3 linked regions of the Cricetulus griseus genome follow. The protein of the gene in region 3 purifies or fractionates together with the protein of the main gene of each other region. This does not show direct contact. Links are inferred from orthologs where the notes say so. Each region holds a gene or a part of one and is shown on either strand. Other genes may lie near its edges. The genes, in order: Dhx15, Prpf4 and Sf3b1.

Region 1 (6,379 bases), on a different chromosome or scaffold from region 3:
AAAGCAAAGAGCCTTTATTGCAAGCTTGAGCTTGGACTCTCATTCTGCTCTGACACAGCTGTTGGATCAGGGAGAGCACTGAGCTCAGTTATGGCAGGGCTTTCAAGGAGTAAATGATAGGGTGGGGAGGGGAATTCTGGATTCAGATGGAGGTTGAACTTCTGATTGGGCAGGTATAAGGTAATAGAAGTCTTGTCAAACACGGATAGGTACTGGCGTTTGGCAACCTATATACAAGTTAGGTAAGCTATTCTTAAGGTTCTGGAGCATCTAGTACTTGTTTGTCTCAATTTTGATTGGTCCCCCTGCAGGGTAAAGTCTGTGGTTTTTTCCTAGTTACTGTAAGGGTGAGGTCTAATCCCAGTATTGTTAGCTTGAAGCCTTTCATGGCTGTACTGATGTTAAGTTAGGTATCTTCAGCCCTCATTTTCATCCATCTTGCTGCTGAGGTATTCCTTCCCTGAGGTATTCCTTCCCTATTTCTTTGGGACTCCAACGTAGACCAAAGACCATCTGAGACATCCAGCTTCACAGATTGAACAACTACAGGATTCTTGGCCTTTCTGTTGGGGGATAGCAACTAGCCAGAGAATAGTCTGTAAGTCACGATAATAAATTCATGTATATTTATGATATATAATTGCAAATGGTAATAATTTTATAGAGTAGCTGTCTCCTCTGACTTGGACATGACCATTATCATATAGAAACTGTGATGATAACTCACATGAGATCCTTCTAGGATCTAGTCCATTAACATACATCTTGGAGAGAAGAGGATGCTCATGGGGCTTTACAAGGCTCAAGAATCTGCATAAGAGGCCCGTTCTGTGCAGGAGATATGGAGGGAAACAACGGACTGTGGTGGGACTGACTTCCAACTCAGAGATCCGATTCCCTCTGCCCTCTGGAGTGCTGGGATTAAAGGTGTGTGCTAGCACACTGGCTTAATAGACTGTTAGTGTACATTTAGGATAGAAAGTTGTATTGGATATTGTGAAAGTAATAAAAAGATACTCATTTTTGCCTGGCAGTGGTGGTTCACACCTTTAATCCCAGCACTTAGGAGGCAGAGGGCTGTTACACAGAGAAATCCTGTCTCGAAAAACAAAAACAAACAAACCCACTCATTTTCTTTGTGTTGACTATTTGTTACAAAAATAGAAGTTGCCATCTTTGATTATTCTGTTGTAGTTTTGAGAATTTGCAAGGAACTAGAGCCAAGGGGCAGCCAAGGGGAGTCTTGACATCAAGCGATACCCTGTGTTTGGATGGGTCCTTAGACTTTTCTCCTGCGCTTCTGGGAATGAACGGAACTGACTAAGCACATAGGCTGCAATGTGGGAATTCTGCAATTTGGTCCAGTGACCAATTGGAGCGGGTTGTGTTTTTGTTTTTTTGCCTTAGGGGTGTGCTATCCGTGATCCCTTAAAAACAGTGGGGGAAGGATCCTATGCTCTCTTGGGTGATCAGACCAAGAGTGAGCCGCAGAGAAGCTGGATTGCAGTTTGGTTTCATCACCCTTGGGTGGAACTGCAGGACGGCTGGCGGCAGCGTCTCAGCTCTGTTCTGTGTCGTTGAGTGTATCTTATAGATTTCATTCCTTAATAAGTCTTACCTGGCCCCATACCTCAGCATCCCGCATTATCCGGCAGAAAGATCCACAAAACTCTTAAGGGTTACCTTTCCTCGCCAACTTGCCATTACAGTAGAGTCTTTTTTGTTTGTTTGTTTTTGTTTTTCTGTGTAGCGTTGGCGGTCCTGGAATGTAGACCAGTCTGGCCTCGAACTCGCAGAGATCCGCCTGCCTCTACCTCCCAGACGCTGGGATTGAAGGCGAGCGCCACCACTGCCCGGCTACAGAAGTGTCTTAAAGGCTGAGGCTAGCCTCCTGCTGAGTTTCAGGACAACCAGGGTTACACAGAGAGACCCAAGCCAAACCAAACCAAACCAGACCGGTAGAGCTAACACTGCCATAGACCTAATATGTACTCAAACGGAAGAAGACTAGGGTAGAGAGGCTTGGAGGCAAAAAAAAAAAAAAAAAAAAAAAAAGGTGCATAGTAAGATTACCGCCAATTTTCTGCACCCTATCCAAAACACCTACAGCTTGAATAAACAGATGTTATCTGCTCTGGGGGCAAATGGGCAAAATGAGTCGCGGCAAATTATCATTTTTCTCACCCTGTTGGGCATAGGGCGTAACAGTTGCAAATTCTGGTTCTGGAGTTACAAAATAGTTGTGCCCTGCTCTGCCACTTATCGTCCTTGTGATCTTCATTATTTTCCTAACCTTGCGGAGCTACAGACCCTAAAAGCAAAAATAAAGACACTGGCGGATAGATTTCCTAAATAGGATTAGGCTTTTTCAACTTTTGAGTGAACTCCAGACTGCAAGGAACAGCGAGAGGCGCGTCTCTGTCCCTCCTAGCCGCGGCTCCGAGAGGCGAACCACTCCGAGGCAGAGGGAGGAGCCCGCGGGGCGCCGAACCTTTCAGCCAATGGCACAGCGGAAGGGGCTGGAGTTCCCGCCTCCGGTCGGCGTGCGCGCGCACCACGCCGGCACGCCCGCGGCGGAGGCGCGCGCGCAGGCCCAGCCCTCGTCGCGGCCGCCATTTTAGCTCCTGGTTCGGGCCGCACGGAGCGGGCTGTGGTGGCGGGAGGGGTGGGGGTCCCCGCGAGTTGAGCAGCGGACCTTTTCTGTGTGGATCAGGCTGCTGGAGTCTCTCTTCTTCCTTCCTTCCTAAGCGTCCGCTCTAGGAGTTCGAGGATGTCCAAGCGGCATCGGTTGGACCTTGGGGAGGATTACCCCTCCGGCAAGAAGCGTGCGGGGACCGATGGGTAAGGCAGGCCGGGGCGCGCGGTCGCGGCCCAGGCTTTGTTGGCTTGTGGCGGGGAGCAGGCCCGGCAGCCGAGCCTTTGTCTAGCGCCGGCCGGCTAGGGGCGTGGGCTGAGTGTGTGCGGCTAGGGCGAGAGGCCTGTGGTGGCCACGAGGCCGCGGGCCGCGAGGCCTCGGTGCTCGCGTGAGGCCCGCAGCCGGGAAGAGCGTCCGGAACCCGGTGCCCAAGGACACCGGGCCGCGGGCGGCCCTGGACGATGGCGGGAGCAGTCTACTGGGCGCTAGAGGCGAACCGACTGCAGGGTGCACTGTTTGGCGGGAGACGACGGGCCTCCTTCCATTGAGGCACTTCAGGGGAGGCCGTTGCCAACTTCCGCCCTCCGCCTGCCCTCCCGCCATCTCCTTTATTTCCTGCTTTGCTTAAAAAATCAGTCTTGCTTAGCATCACTGGGGTTGGACTGTGGAAAGATGTATTTCCCCCCTCCGCTGCATAAGTTACTTTCTATCCCCTCCCCACTTTGGACTCACTTTTCAAAAAGTGTTGTTAAGCATGTATGAGCAAACAACCCACGTGCAGATTGAGAAATGCTTCCACCGATTCTTGATCCGGCAGTTTGGTTCCTTTTCTTAGATTTTCGCAAAGGGAAGAGGTATTTAGCATGCAAGCAGTTGTATTAAAACTATCATTTCCCAGTTTTCCTTTCCCAGTTCCCACTTAAAATGTACTTTGGTTTATATTCCTACTCCCCACTTTAGGCCGTTGAATGTTTTCACTTCGGCAGTATGGAGATCTGTTTGGTTAACTAAAAAACAAAATTCACAGAAGCCCGAATATCCAAATTTGTTGCATGGCTTTATCGTTTTCTTGTGCCCTGTGACACCGACTTATCTGTGGCCTTTGAGTTTTTATTCACGGACAGTCCTTTGGGCTTGATTTCTAATTATCAGTGTGACGTATTGGTCAGGGTAGGATGCGTTCTGATACTCTAATTAGATTGAAATGTTGAGCATGGTGTGCAGAATGTCACATTTTGATTGCGTTGATTTTTTTAAAAAAATTCTTGTAATACTAGGCATTGTGATAGCACAGCATCATAAGACAGCTTCTTAGGCCGTCCTCTCATGCAAAAATCCCAAATGCTAGTATATGAGCTGGTCATAGTACTTAGAAACACAGTGTATTCTCCAAGGGAGAGTAGGGTTACAATGAGCTTTTCTGTGCTTTATATAGTGGCATCTAGAACTCCACTTTTCTCAACATGAAACTTAGGAATGTAGTTAGACATTACCACCTGTCATAATGACATTTCTATTGAGTTGCAAAAGGTGGGGACGACATTTGGTTCTGAACTTCTGTGAAGCTAAAAGAATGTCACGTTTGGCTAAGATACAACTAATTTCCCTTGTCAGAGGTCACATTGGAATAAACGTTGGGAAATAGTTTTTTTGTGTGTATGTTCACCATTCAAAAAGCTTTTATTAGGATTAGGGCTTCCGTGTTACAAGTGTATATGGTGATTCCTTTTTCTTGCAAAACATAACCTTGGTAAAATGGACTTTTTGGGTGTATCATGGTAGCTTCATGTTTCCTCTGAATATTACATATTTGTTAGTATAGAAGAGTTAAGTTCATTTGTACAGTGATTCCTTAGTTTCTAGAGATTCTGGAGGGCAGTTGTTACACTGTTTCCTAAGTTTTTTGAGTGCCTTTTCTTATAGAACTGTTTTTCTGTAGTAATGAGTTTATACAGCATTTGTGCTTGATATCCTTCTCCCACCCCCTCACTTAGTTTAATGCACTTTTGACAGCCAGAGATCCTTTGCCCATCCCTTCCTCTCTCCCCTCCATTCTTGGTTAGTGTATTTGACAGCATAGGCCTTTTCAATTTGTGAACCCAGCTGTCACCAGACCCTGTCTTATCTTTTCAGTACACCTTTGTGTGTGTGAATTCATGCCACTGCTTGTGTGTAGCTTTCAGAAGAAAACATGGTACTCCGTTAACCACCTTCCACCAGATGGGCCTTAGGGGTCAACTTAGTGTTTCAGTCTTGGTGGCAAGTGGCTTTACTGGCTGAGCATCTCAACAGCTCTGGAAGAATCTGAAGAAAAGGACATTTTCATTCTAACAGTTTTTTTTTAATATTTCTGATCAGAACTTTTAATTACAGAAGAGGACCTGATACTGTTGTAGGTGCTTTGTATGTAGAAGTGTGTTTCGGTGCAACCCTGTGTAGTAGCTAAGATTAAATAATTAGGTGCAGTGGACAAGAAATGTTCTTATATAAAGGTATAAAGGAAAAGAAAGCAGGAAATTCCTCCAGATCTTCATTTCTTTCTTTGGAGAGCTTATTCATAAATGTGAACTGTAATACCAGTGAGCTCTTAGGATTTGTGTGGATGTATGCTATGATTTTTTTCACTCATAACCACACTGTTAGCCTTCCCATTGGTTGCATAGGTGCAGCTCCTGTCTTGCTCAATAATGTTAAGTAACTTCACAGGGTTTTGTTATTTTGTAGATGAAAAACATTAGCATCTGTGTGTATATGTATATATTAACACGTGCCTAGAAGTTCTGAAAGTGAGATTGTCAGAAAAAGCAGTGTTTATATAAAATACTCTGATGTAGATGACTAGTTTACATCTTTATTGGCAATATACTTGTGCCTGTTACTATTCCATGTACAATTTAAACTGAGCCATCAGCAGTAACCAGTATTCGTTGGTACAGTTCAGATAGGCCAGAGAACATTATCCCAGTATTAGCTTATTTAATGTTATTAGTTCTGTATCAATAGACAAAACTTGCATGTGAGCAAGGAAACACTGACTGTTCTTGATAAATGTCATAGTGTTGACTAAAGAACTATTTAGAGCTTGCTTTGTCTTTCTTCTGAGACAATGTTTCTCTACATCGCTCTGGTTATCCTAGAAACTCAACTGTGTAGACCAGAGATCAGCCTGCTGCCTCTGTCTCCCAAGTTTTGTGGTTAAAGATGTGTACTTCCACACCAGTATTGTTTTTATTTTCTTTAAAATTAAAAGTGTTATGCTTAACTAGCAAATTCTTATGAGAAAAACTTTTTGTAAGTGCCCTTTTTAAACAAGAAGCTGCATATGGACAAGTCTACCTATGCTTGGAGAGGGACTTAAAAACTTACCTTTGTCATTCAGAGTAGCTAGTGTGAACTGCAAAACTAGACCATTGAAGTAGTTTTCTGCATCCCAAATGTTTTCTTCATCACTTTGCTGAGTTTTAGGCCTTTTCTGTGGTTTTTCAACTGGTTGCCTTGCCCCTCTTTTTTGGGGGTGATGTTAAATTCTCACTTTATTCGTCATCGAATCCTTGTGTTTTGTATTCTATTTCTTTCTCTGATATAGTAATGAAGCTGTAGGTGAAATGTGTCCTGGAAAAGGTGTGTGTTAGTGTAGGTGTTAATTTTTCACATAACATTATGTGGATTGCTTTGTGTAGTATCTCTTCACCCAGGTTTGTAGTTTTGGAAAGGTTAGGTTTGTATCTTAACTGATTCCATACT
Region 2 (6,379 bases), about 330 Mb from region 3:
ATTAAGCATAGTTAGGGAAAGTGGACAAGCCATACATTCAATCTGCTTTCTATAAACATCACCAGAGATTGTGACCATACCTGGATGTTAAAACCATGGCTTAAATCTCATGAAAGCCAAACTTACCAATTCACAGGAGTGTCCACACGATCTAATGAGGTCCTAAATGGGTAAATCATGCATTAATTAGATGCTTTCTGTGCTGACCTAGAGATGTTTAAAGTCACTGTTGTAACCTGTGAAGAAAACAGACAAGACCAGAGACTATGATAATGTAGTATAAAATCGGAACTCTGAGCCCTGCATGAACGCTCAGCCCAGGCTAGGCTGCAGAGGAGTAGCTAGGGATGTCAATTCTCCATGGGAAAAGGTGTGTTTGTGAATTTGAAGGGTAGACAGAGACCAATAAGGCCACAGAAGTTCAAATCATTTTATACATATGGCAAATGAATGCTTGTGTTACCAAAGCCCATGTTTGTTTCAGAACAAAAACTAAGTGGAGCTAAGTACCCGTGGAAGGTATCATCTTTATGTCCTCCACAGTACCCATAATAAGCAGACAACAAGTTTTGGGATATACTAAGCTATCCAAATAGAAAAACTGAAACTAACTTTTTCTGAGTCCTAGACTCTGCTATTATTTTTTTTTCTCTTTAAAAACTTTAAAAACGTTTGCTTTTTGAAAAAAAATATAATTAATTTTTATTGGGTGTTGGTGGGAGCACACAGCTCCCTGAATAGAGGTCAGAGGACAACCTTTGGGAGTCAGTTTTCTCTTTCTACCATCAGGCTTGGCACAGGCTCCTTTTTTTTTGAGACAGGGTTTCTCTGTGGCTTTGGAGGCTGCCCTGGAACTAGCTCTTGTAGACCAAGCTGGTCTTGAACTCATAGAGGTCCACCTGCCTCTGCCTCCGGATAGCTGTGATTAAAGGCGAGAACTGGGATTAAAGACATGCGCCACCACCTCCAGGCTATCATGTTCTGTATGTAACTTTTATCGGAGGCTCATATTGTTAACTAAACTGTTTACCTCAATTTTTAAAGAACGGAATAGGTTTTAAAACTTCACAAGGCGAGGGGCGGTGATGGGCACGCCTTTAATCCCAGCTCTCGGGAGGCAGAGGCAGGCAGATCTCTGTGAGTTAGAGACCAGCCTGGTCTATAAGAGCTAGTTCCAGGACAGCCTCCAAAGCCACGGAAAATCCTTGTCTCAACCCCCACCTCACCCCCAAAAAAAGTTAAATGATAACAATCTAAGTGAAAGTTCTGCTATAGTGTGCATACAAATAAATTACTGTCGTATGGGACAAAAAACTATGATGTATACAAATGAAGAAACATTTATCTTTTTCTCAGGAGGCTTAGCACAACCAGGGGTTGATATAATCAATACAAAACACTGGCCCATGACATTTCAAATTATTTTATTCTAAATCAGCTACCACCTTCTACCAGATCCCTAAGTAAAGAAATGGAAGAGGAATCCAGCTCCAAAGAAAAAGGAAGAAATAATTAGAAGAAAAGTTTTCTACTTGTGTACACACTGAAAGCCTCAACACTAGAGGGCGATATTGAGTGCGGGTTAAAAGAACTGCTCTCCACCCGCTACTTTAGTAATCCTACTACACTATGGCTCCAGAACGACGGGTTAGCTTCATTTCTCACAATTATTTATTTTATGTACTCTGTTGTCTCGTGACTTGAATGACTAAAATAGAATATGCTCCTTGCGCATAATTTAGCATTTAGTAAGCAAAGCATTCGAAGAGAAAGTGTCCCTATGATTGCATTTGTTTGGGGAAGAGGCTTAAGAGTGGGAGTGAGTCTGTCCAGTTCAGCAAACACGAATATTTTGGCAATCCCCACAATCTTCATGTAAGGATAAAAAGAAAACCTTATCTCCGATGGCCTAGCATCAGTGGAGCGAGAGCTGCTGGTATGCACTCTCCCTGGCGCCTCCCTGGCCCCTTTATCTCAAAGACCACATACAAAGAATACGGTTGTAGACAAGTAACCCAACAACAAAGTAGGCCGCAGCTCCCCCGCCACGTCTTTATTTTAGTCCTAGAAGACTCTTCGAGTTTAATGTCTTCTTGAAGCCCAAAGTCACTGCGAAGCCACGCAGTTACGAGGGGCCCCCGGGAAGACTTCCGTGCCGACGTGGACAACAGTCCGCTTTCCCAGCTCCTAAGCTGCACTAGTCTAGGGAGAGATTTCCATGGCAACACAGCCCTCGGCTGCGAGATGACGGAAGGTCTCCCGAAGGAGAGCAGAGACCCTCGGTTCGCTCATGATTACAGTCGAGATCCACGAACCTACCTCTTTTCAGGCCTCTGCAGCTTCCCAGAACCTCAACTCCCACCATGAAGCCATTGCTGTCCTGCCCGAACTACACTTCCCAGGCTGCTCTGAGCCTCTCTTCCCACACGCCTCTTCTCCCGCGAGCTTGTGGAGACGCTCTATGAGGCCACGCCCCTCGACGCCAGCCGACGTTGGGCAACTACGACGACCAAGATACTTCGCGACTACCAGAGCACAGAGTACGCTCCTGGTACGTTTCCGGCCAGTGACGCACTTCCACTTTGCTGGGCGCGCGGTGGACGGTCTGAAAAGGAGAGCGCGGATTTGGTTAGGGCCTCGAGGCTCCAGAGCCCAGCATGGCCTCCTCACGAGCCTCTTCCACGGTACGGGGCTCCGGATCGCAGCTCAGGCCGGTCCTCTCCCAGAGAGGGCGGGGTCCCCGCGGGAAGGGGCCGTTACCTCGAGGGTCAGGGCGGAGGAGGAAGGCTGAGGGACCCTAGTGTGGAGCAGCCTTTTCCTGACTTCTAAACGCTTTCGTGTGCTACAGCTCTTTTTGCACCACTCTCACTTCAGCCCCGAGCGGTGAACACTGTCTCTAACTGCTCCAAAACACGGTGCTTAGAAGTGGAGACATGTCTTGACTTAAACTGTATGACTCGGGACTTAACGATGAGGCCTCCCAACTTCTAATCCGCTCTGGAAGTATTTGAAATGTGTATTCCAGTAACGTGGTGCACCGAAAGCCACCCTGATTGTTTAGGTTATTCTTGGTATTTGTCCAGTGATGGGCAGTTATTTTTGTAAAACCGGAGATTGCATTTCAAATAAAATAAAGTAAAAGGGCCCCAAAGCAAACCAGATACTTCAAACAGAAATTGATTCGTTGTATTTGTCTGCCAAACTTAACGAGAGTCTAAACTCGCACAAAATCAATCTTGACGGATACCCACCTTGTCCTTTAGCTTTTGGAGAAAATAAAATGAAAGCGTTAGTTTCATTCGTTTGGGAAGCATGGTTTACTAGGACCTTAACCAGGGTCTTTGATTTAACAGGCAACTAAAACTAAAGCACCTGATGATTTAGTTGCTCCTGTTGTGAAGAAACCACACATCTATTATGGAAGCTTGGAAGAGAAAGAGAGGGAACGTCTGGCCAAAGGAGAGTCTGGGATTTTGGGAAAAGAAGGACTCAAAGCAGGCATTGAAGCTGGAAATATTAATATAACCTCCGGTAAGACCCAAATTGTGAATCATCTTTACTTTTTTTTTTTTTTTTTAACTGCCAGGGACTCCAACACAGGGTTTTTTTGCATGCTAGGCAAGTGTTCCACCACTGAACCACACATTTGGCTAGTCAGTTGCCTTTGAACTGCCTTCTGCCTCCTCCCGGGTACTAGAACCACGTCTACACTGCCCTGCACCTTTAATGATCCAATTTTCAGATGAACACCTTCCCAGACCAAGTAACATTAAGATTTATAGGGTCAAAACCTTCGATTCTTGGCCTGGGGGTCTACTTCAGGTGACAAAAGGTTTGCTGTGCAACCATTAGGGCTTGAGATTGATTCCCTGGAACCATGTTTTGTTTGGGGGACAGGGCTGAGGGGTTGGAGCTTTAGCTCAGTGGTTGAGCACTTGCCCAGCAAGCACAAGGGTTAGTCCTCATCTCTGAAAAAAACAAGGCAAAATAACAAAAAGGGGCTGGAGAGATGGCTCAGTGGTTTAGAGCACTAGCTGCTCTTCCAGAGGTCCTGAGTTCAATTCCCAGCAACTACATGGCAGCTCATAACCATCTATAAAGGGTTTGATGCCTTCTGACATGCAGGCATACATGCAGATAGAGCATCATATATAAAGTACATAATTAAATTTTTTAAAACTGAATGTGGTGGTAATCCCAATGTTGAGGAAACATTGACTTCCACATCTGCTCATGCACACATCCGTACTCTTCTGTTCTTACCATGGAGTCTTTGGCTTTCGCTTCTTGGCATTATCCAGAGCGTGTTTTTCTTATATTTCATACAGTTCCTGATACAAGTTACTGATGATCTTTGAAAACTTCAGTGGGTGTTTTGATTCATCAGTTGTATTTGTCTTTGGGAGATGTAGAGTAGTTCTGGCATTGATGCATGACTCAAGCTGTTTATAGTATTCTCTCCTTTACTTTTCTAGTTTGTTTCTTTGTGTCTTTACCTTTCAAGACAGGGTTTCTCTGTGTAGCCCTGGACTGCTCCTGAATGCTGGGATTAAAGGCGTGCACCACCATTGCCCAGCTTTCTAGTTATATTTTTTTTTCAAACCTAGATTAAAATAATGTTTTTTAGTATGAAGGGACAGTAATTTTAAAAGATTTTAAAAAATCAACATGTGTCTCTATGAGGTAGAAAATCTATATTGTGAATTGGATGTATTTCTTCTATAAATGGTACCATGATGTGTAAATTGTTTTATAGCCTACATTTTTTCCCTTGTATACTGTTGAGGTTTGTCTCTTTATATTACCGTCAAGAAATGTATTGATTAATTTTGGTTTTTGAGACAAGATCTCCACTATAGCTCAAGCTGGCCTAGAAGTTGTGGCAGTCTTTCTACTGTGCCCTCCTTGTACTGAATAACAGATGGGAGCCACCATGCCCAGCTTAAGAGTTTTATATTTTAAAAATAAAGTTATGCATATTTGTCATAAGCAATTAGATTAGCACAGAAAGGTAAAGTTTAGTGATGAGTACTTGCCTGGCATGATGGCACACACCTGTCATCCTAGCACTCATGTCCTGAAGGCAGGAAGGTCACAAGGACAGGGAGCATCCTAGGTTGCATAGCTTGAGCTGATCCTGTCTACACACCACTCAGGAGGTGGAGACAGGCTGTAATAAGGTGGAGTAGAGACAAGATCTGAGCCCTTTTGGACAGAGGAAGGGGACTGCTAGTTCTCTGATCTTCCAGCTTTTACCCCACTATCTGGCTCCTGGGTTTTATTGATTAAGATTAATTGGATTTACACTTCAGACATATTTATTAATAAAGAATTAAATCTTGCCTGAATATTTAATATTGCAAGACATGGAGCATTTTAAATGTTTTTCATGGTACATTCATTCATTCATTCATTCATTCATTTATTTATTTAAATCAGCAACTCAGATAGTGAGTTTTTTTTTGTTGTTGGCCCTTCCTTTCTTTCTGACAAGGTCTGTATGGCCCATGTTGTCCTGAAAGTCACTGTGTAGCCAAGTCTGACATTGATCTCCTGGTCTTCTTGCCTCCTCCCATGTGCAGATATTATAGGCATGCACTGCCACACTGAGCTCTTCACCATCCTTCTTTTCTGTTTTGGCCAAGCAACAATTTTAAATAATCAAACATTTTAATACAGTATAAGTGAGAGATAAAACTATTTGATACTTGATGCTGAGGAAATTAAATCTTTTTTTTCCCGTAGCTGAATCATGTCTCTATAAAAGCAAACTTTGTAAAAATGTGGAAATTTGGCCAGGCTCACACCTTTAATCCCAGCACTCAGGCGGATCTCTGTGAATTCGAAGCCAGTCTAGTCTACAAAGTGAGTTTCAGGACAGCCAAGGCTACACAGAGAAACCCTGTCTCAAAAAAGCCAAAAAAGGGATATTACAATTCATAACAGGCTTTTGAGGTAGTGTTCCTTAGTGTCGCATGGCATGACAGACTGTAAGTACATTGCAGAGTTGCACATGCTCAAAACCAAGGTTGCAGCAAAGATTCATGATGAGGCCCACAGGCCCTGCCAAAAGCAACCCTGATTTGTTTTGAATTTGATTTTGGATTAATTGTTGGTCACTGCATCTTCAGAAACCCTTCAATATTGCTGAATTCTTCAACAGCCCCACAGTTACATACCTTATGGCACTCTATCCAATATAAGAAGCTATATTCTAGGATACAGAGACTGATTGTTTCTTTCCCCCATGTTGCCTGTCCTTTGCATAGGGGAAGTATTTGAAATTGAGGAGCACATCAGTGAGCGGCAGGCAGAAGTCTTGGCAGAGTTTGAAAGAAGAAAGAGAGCCCGGCAAATCAATGTTTCCACGGATGACTCA
Region 3 (6,279 bases):
TAGTGCAAACTCTGTTCTGCCTTTCCTGAACTTTGAGGTTGTTTAAAAGTGTTGCCAGTACATCATGAGGGCTGAAAAGAAACAAGAAATATGTCAGCAAATTATTACTTATTAAACTTGTTCTCAGAGAAAAGAAAACCTTTCTGATAAAATGCAGTGCTTTTCTCATCACTAGGAGTGTAGCTTTTGACTAACCTTCATACAGGGAAGGAGGAAATGAGGTAATTGTAAGTTTTTTTTTAATAGCTTCATACAAATTGTCAGATTTTTCTTAATGTTAATTCAGGCGGACTCATTTTCAAATATAATTTTTACTCTTTAAACTTTTTGAAATATAAAGAAATGTAAATGGTGAAATTCAAAGACAGGCAGACTATCCAAAACAAGAATATCCAAAATTCTGGACTCCCGTGCTAAAACACATAAAATCTGTTCCTCATTGTCCTCATTAGCCCCCCTCCCATGTTTATGTTGGGCAGGGTCTCCTTGCCTAGCTCTGGCTGCCTCCACCAAGCTTTTACAAATTTCCTTTGCTAAAGCTCAGAGACACACTGTAGCTAACCAAGTTTACATAGTAGCTACCCTGAAGGTAGCAACACCTAACTCTACATCTTCTCTATTGTTTCCCAAAGCATTTTCTAGTAAATGTTTCCTCTTAGCTCCTGTGAGAAAGCACTCTCACCAAAACTTGTGGAAAAAAAGAGTTTGCTTCAGCTTCCATGTCCAGGTCATAGTCCATCACTGAGAGAAGTCAGGTAGGAAGTCAAGCACAAACCACGGAGGAATGTTGCTTACTGGCTTGCTCCTAGGATCATGACCAACTTACTTTCTTATATAGTCCAAGACACACTCTCAAAGATGGCACCACCCACAAGGAGACAGGACCTCCCACATATGTCAAAAATCAAGACAATTACTTATCAACATGGTCACAGGCCAATCTGATCTGTGTCAAGGTTACAGCTAAACCTTGCTAGAACACTGGAAAATGGCACATTCATAGTTTCATTGTCTACAATTAACTTCTTCTCTCAGTTGGGTTCTGATGAAGCAGCAAATAACCATAAGGGAATTAATAAGGCAGATGAAATCTGGAGTAACCTTGGAACAATGTGTTTTAAAAACACATGAAGTTAGCATTAAGATATGAATTACATATAAATACTGTACATTGGCCCACACCTTTAATCTCAGCAACAGAAGACAGAATACACTAATCTCTTGAGTTCAAGGCCAGGCAGGAACTACACAGTGAGACTCTGCCCCACCCCATCCCCTACACCCTGAGGAAAAATAAGAAAAAAAGGAAAAATATGTAAAAGAGGAGTTGAATGGGTAGATGAGATCACAGTTAAGAGCGCTGGCTGCTCTTCCAGAGGACCTGGGTATGATTCCCAGCTCCCACATGGCAGCTAACAACCTTCTCTAACTCCAAGTTCCAATGAATCTAATACTATCTTCCAGTCTCTAAGGGTACCAGGATAACAAGTGGCATACAGACATGTGTGCAGGCAAAGCACTTATATACATAAAAAAAAAAATTAAATGCCAAAAACAAAGAAAGATTTAAAGTAAGTTTAATATACAAAAAAATCCCTTCGTATCAAGAATTTCACACAGGCATAATAATGAGTTTCTGTCAAACCCACCCTTTTCTTTTTAATGCCTCTCCCACCTCTCCCTTCCCCGATGAGTCCTCCCCAACCTTATGTACTCTTTTCACAGAGTCAGCTCAGTGGTTAAGAACGCTAGCTATTCTACTGGAGGACCAAGGTTAGATAGATTCCCAGCCCTCACACAGTGACTCACAACCATCTATACCTTCAGCTCTAGGGGATCCAACACCCTACAAGGCATTAGGCATGTACATGTGTCAATACATGCATATACATATAGGCAAAACACTCAATAGGCATAAAGAAAATGAATCTAAAGAAAATAGTTAAATTCACTAAGTCTACATGGTGCTATTAAGCATGCTATAGAAGCATGTACAGCCTCCCAGAGGTCACATCTTTTAAAACTGACTCTCCCCAGCAGTCACCAATTGCAACAGCTCCTCAGACAGGGACTTCATGAACCCCTCCCTCATCCATGCCAGTGGTTTTGCTGGCTTGACCTTGTGCAGGTCATGTGCTTGCAGTTACAACGGATGTAAATTCATGTGGGCAACTACACCATCATGTACAAGTGCTCTTTTGCTGCAGATGGCTACTACCCACTTTAAATCCCACTCTTCCAAAACCATTACCACATCTTGAGGATTAGGGGTGTTATATAACTGTCCTTTATTATGTTAAATGACAATGATAAAACTGCCCCTATGTTTTCATCTTTATACCCATAAGTCCGTCCATTTCTCAACCCTTATCAGAGAAGCTTTAAACTTTTTAAAGTATGTTTGTTAGTATGTATGAGTGTTTTGCCTGCAGGTGTGCCTGCACTGCATGTGTTCATGCCTGTAGAAGGCATCAAATCCCCTGACATGGATTGTAAGGCAAGTGGGTGCTAGGAATCAAAGCTGGCTCCTCTGGACAGTAGCCAGTGCTCTTAACTGCTAAGCCATCTTTCCAGCCCCAGAGAAGCTTCTTTTTATCATTAAGAGCAATTAAAATAGAAGCCCATAATTGGACAACAGGGAGATTAAAAGATGTGAAGTACTCATCCCTTAATATTTTAAGCAATATCCTAGCCAGGCATGGGGGCACATGCTCTTAATATGATTTTAATCCCAGCACTGGGGAGGAAGATCAGAGTTTGAGACCAGCCTGGTCTACATAGTTCCAGGACACTGTCTCAAAAGGAGAAAAAAATTCAGCAATATCCTAAAACACCAACAAAAATCTGAATATACACTGAAAATGAACTATTTCCCTCTCTAAAAATATCTACACTGCAGAAGGGGAAATTTTAAAGCATTCCATCTATTTTGGTTCTACTAAGAGTTTAAAGAAGTATTTTTAAATGGGAAGGAAAGTTCATCGATTAAATGAAATGCTTTTTCTTGAAATGATTTAACTATGCTTCAAAAGATTTGTCTACATGAAAACACTTTCCAACAATGAGTTTATTATAACCTACTAAAAAATGAAAATACTCACCCAATGGCCTTTGCAATATAACCGAAAGTGTTGACGGTAGCTCTTCGAATAGCTTTTTTGTGAGCTTTTAAGAGCTCTAAAAGCTCAAAGCAAATCCTCATCCACTCTCTTGCAGATACATATTCAGCTCCCCTAATTAAAAAAAAATAATATTAAATGAGTTGCCAGCCTGGTCTACAGAGTTCCAAGCACAGAGAAACCCCATCTCAAAGAAAAAAAAACAAAACTAAACTGCTACTTCTTATTACCAGCCAAAGTGAAATTTCCCTAAAAATAGTGATTTTGGATAACCTGACCATATGTACTTAGGTAAGCAACTTTAAGTAAAACTTGCTTGATGAATACAAACCTGCTAAATCTAAAGAGAAACACTGCCTACTTGAACTAAGTATGAGAATGTTACTACTTACAAAAGATGTTGGATAATCTGCTTACCTGTCAGCAATGCGCCCAACAAGATCGATACAATTCTCCTGTACTTTTTCATGCCTGTTCTTCAAGATGGGGGTGAGTCTAGGCAGGAGATCTTTAATTGGTGGTGTCATCTTATGCATACCTATTTGACAGAAATCAAGGAACTATTAAAACCTCAAGTGCAACCTCTGTTCACTTTCCCTTTTACTGTGCAATGCAATGTATAAACATAAACTCATGAGCTATATCTATGGATAAAAGCACCAGATTCTAATTAGACTTAAATTTTTTTTAAACTACCAATAGCTTCTATTACACATAGAAATGAAAGAAATCAGTGATTTAAAGAATAAGGGTTACTCAACAAAAAGGTTTTATTTGGTTTTGAAATGCTATTTGTACACTGACATTTAAATATGGGGACAGCCTATGTTCTGATCAAATACAACAATATAAGCAAAAGAGGACATGTAAATCAAATCAGAAAGGCCCCCATACCCTCTAACTGTAAAACAAAACAGATCTCCAGTCTCCCTGAAATGCAGGGCATATGTGCATGGTATTTAAACCTATGAAGAGAGAGAAAAAGAGGATGCTAGCAGAGGCTCTAACTAGAACTGCTTGTTCTGATTCTCCATCGTTTTTCTCATGTTTCCCAGATAATATGGTTTACAACTCTCTGAAAAGCCAGAGACCCACAAGCGTCTAAATGACTGCTGGCAAGTCAGTATCTTTAAAGTATACAAGACTGGGCTGAACCTGGGGATCATATGTAAATGCAACTGTTCTTAGATCTAATCATCAATCAGTCAGGTATTATGAACTCTTGGCCTTTTTCCAACCCTTTCAGTCCTAATGGACTTACTTTAGACACTATGTTTAAATACAATGAGTTGGTTTTTGGCTTGTTTTGTTTTCTGAGACAGGGTTTCTCTGTGTAGCCTTGGCTATCCAGCTCTATAGAACAGACTGGCCTCTAATTCACAGAGATCCGCCTGCCTTCCAAGTGCTAGGGATGAAAGTCATATGCCACCACTGTCCAGCTACAAGAGATTTTAAACACAGGATTGCCTTTGTTTTTGCATTCATTACTTCCTGAAAAAAAATAAAAATAAAAAGTTCTCTCTCCATACCCAAGATGGTTACATAGATGTGTCTTTACTTATGGTGAAAAGACAGGCTAGTTTGCTGTCCTCTTCTTTGAACTCACAGCAAACAAAAAATCCTAATAACCTATCAAAATACTTTAACATAGAAGTCTGAGTAGATAAAGAACATTTCTAAAATTAAATCACAACCTCAGGGTTGCTCCTCCCCTTCCAGAAGATTCTGGATTACTTTTCTAATTGATGCACTAGTTCTAGAAGGGTCCTCTCTCCCAGTAACCATTTCCATACCTAGTATATCCTAAATTTCCCCTTTAAGGTTTTCAAGTAAAATACAAATGGACAACAGGGACTTTTATGACATTCTCTGACAACCCTGAAGTGTTTAAAAAAAAAAAATCCTAAATACGACTTTATATTTTACTTTCAAAATACAAAGAAAATGACAAAGCCAAATCTAAACATAGTCAGTCAGGCAATCACATACCTATTACATTTACAATAGCCTTCAGTGCTCCAAGAATGCTGCCCAATACTTCAGGGTATTCTTCACCCAAATATTCATACAGTACCACACCCAAGTGCCCCATCAGTTTTTCCTGTAATGAAAGAATGATTTAAAACAATATTTTCTCCATTAAACAAATTAAACCTGCTGTATGTATGTATGTATGTATGTATGTATGTATGTATGTATGTATGTATGTATAAACCTGGTAGAATAGATTACCTCTTGACAAGTCTTCATAACAACAGCAGTTCTGGAAATCAAGTCGGCTGCTTGTTGTCGAACTTTTGCTGACTTGTTATTTAAACGCCACAAAACTGTACCACAGATCTGAGGCAAGTATGGTTTGACTCGTTTGCCAAGAGCATTAACTACTGTGCCAAAGCCATTCAACATTACAGAATCCTAAAAGAGAAAAGCTAAGTTACAATATTTAAAAAACAAAAATCACTAAAAATACAAAATTTAGTTTTAACTGAAAGTTGATTAAATAACATTCAATCTTTACCAACCACCCAAACATGCTGTTGTTTTTAAATCAAATCCAAAAATCTGAGGTAAAAGAAACTGGTACTGAAAATGCTAAAACTTAAATTACTTTTAAGTGATACCTGCTTTTAAAGTAAGTTTTCTACATATGCAAGAGTCAACTGCAATGTGGCACAATAGTTAGCTATGATGACCATCGTGATGGCTGCCCCCAAGCCTGACTCCAAGGGAACACATGGTGGAAAGAGAGAACTGATTCCGGAAAGCTGCCTCTAATTTTCACCCACACACATGCACACAAAATAAAATGTAGAAACTAGAAATAAATGATTAGTTGCCATTACCTCTGTAGTCTGTTCTTGGAAAGCATACAGAATACCATCAATCAATTGTTCTTCAAGTTTATGATCAATATCTGCTGCACCTAGGTTGCCCATAATTTTCTCAATTGTTTCCATCACCATTTTCCTGTACTGTTCAGCTTCATCTTTCAGATCATCCACAATCCTAGATATAATTTCTGCTGCTCCTACTTTGTTTGCCAACTCCACAGTCGTATCAACTAACTAAAAAGACAAACACAAAACCCTTTTAAATCTATTACTTTTCCAACTTTCACAGTCAGAGCAGTCAGAACATGGTGGGTGGCTCCTGCTTAGAA

Evidence for each region.
Region 1: the proteins of Sf3b1 (region 3) and Dhx15 purify together in Homo sapiens (co-immunoprecipitation; 6 studies listed by BioGRID and IntAct, with this or other methods). This does not show direct contact. The link is inferred for Cricetulus griseus from reciprocal best matches to the Homo sapiens genes SF3B1 and DHX15.
Region 2: the proteins of Sf3b1 (region 3) and Prpf4 purify together in Homo sapiens (co-immunoprecipitation; 3 studies listed by BioGRID and IntAct, with this or other methods). This does not show direct contact. The link is inferred for Cricetulus griseus from reciprocal best matches to the Homo sapiens genes SF3B1 and PRPF4.

What each region holds. Positions count from the first base shown.
Region 1 is NW_023276807.1:120,438,778-120,445,156, reverse strand, and holds the start of Dhx15 (pre-mRNA-splicing factor ATP-dependent RNA helicase DHX15), read left to right. Parts: upstream 1-2,613; 5' UTR 2,614-2,770; coding exon 2,771-2,841; intron 2,842-6,379.
Region 2 is NC_048595.1:83,459,656-83,466,034, reverse strand, and holds the start of Prpf4 (U4/U6 small nuclear ribonucleoprotein Prp4), read left to right. Parts: upstream 1-2,521; 5' UTR 2,522-2,657; coding exon 2,658-2,684; intron 2,685-3,353; coding exon 3,354-3,531; intron 3,532-6,269; coding exon 6,270-6,379. Other genes in the region: anaphase-promoting complex subunit CDC26, read right to left, coding at 127-179. UniProt on the Homo sapiens protein: Plays a role in pre-mRNA splicing as component of the U4/U6-U5 tri-snRNP complex that is involved in spliceosome assembly, and as component of the precatalytic spliceosome (spliceosome B complex).
Region 3 is NC_048595.1:409,438,638-409,444,916, forward strand, and holds part of Sf3b1 (splicing factor 3B subunit 1), read right to left. Parts: intron 6,185-6,279; coding exon 5,963-6,184; intron 5,535-5,962; coding exon 5,352-5,534; intron 5,221-5,351; coding exon 5,109-5,220; intron 3,658-5,108; coding exon 3,537-3,657; intron 3,234-3,536; coding exon 3,102-3,233; intron 72-3,101; coding exon 1-71. UniProt on the Homo sapiens protein: Component of the 17S U2 SnRNP complex of the spliceosome, a large ribonucleoprotein complex that removes introns from transcribed pre-mRNAs.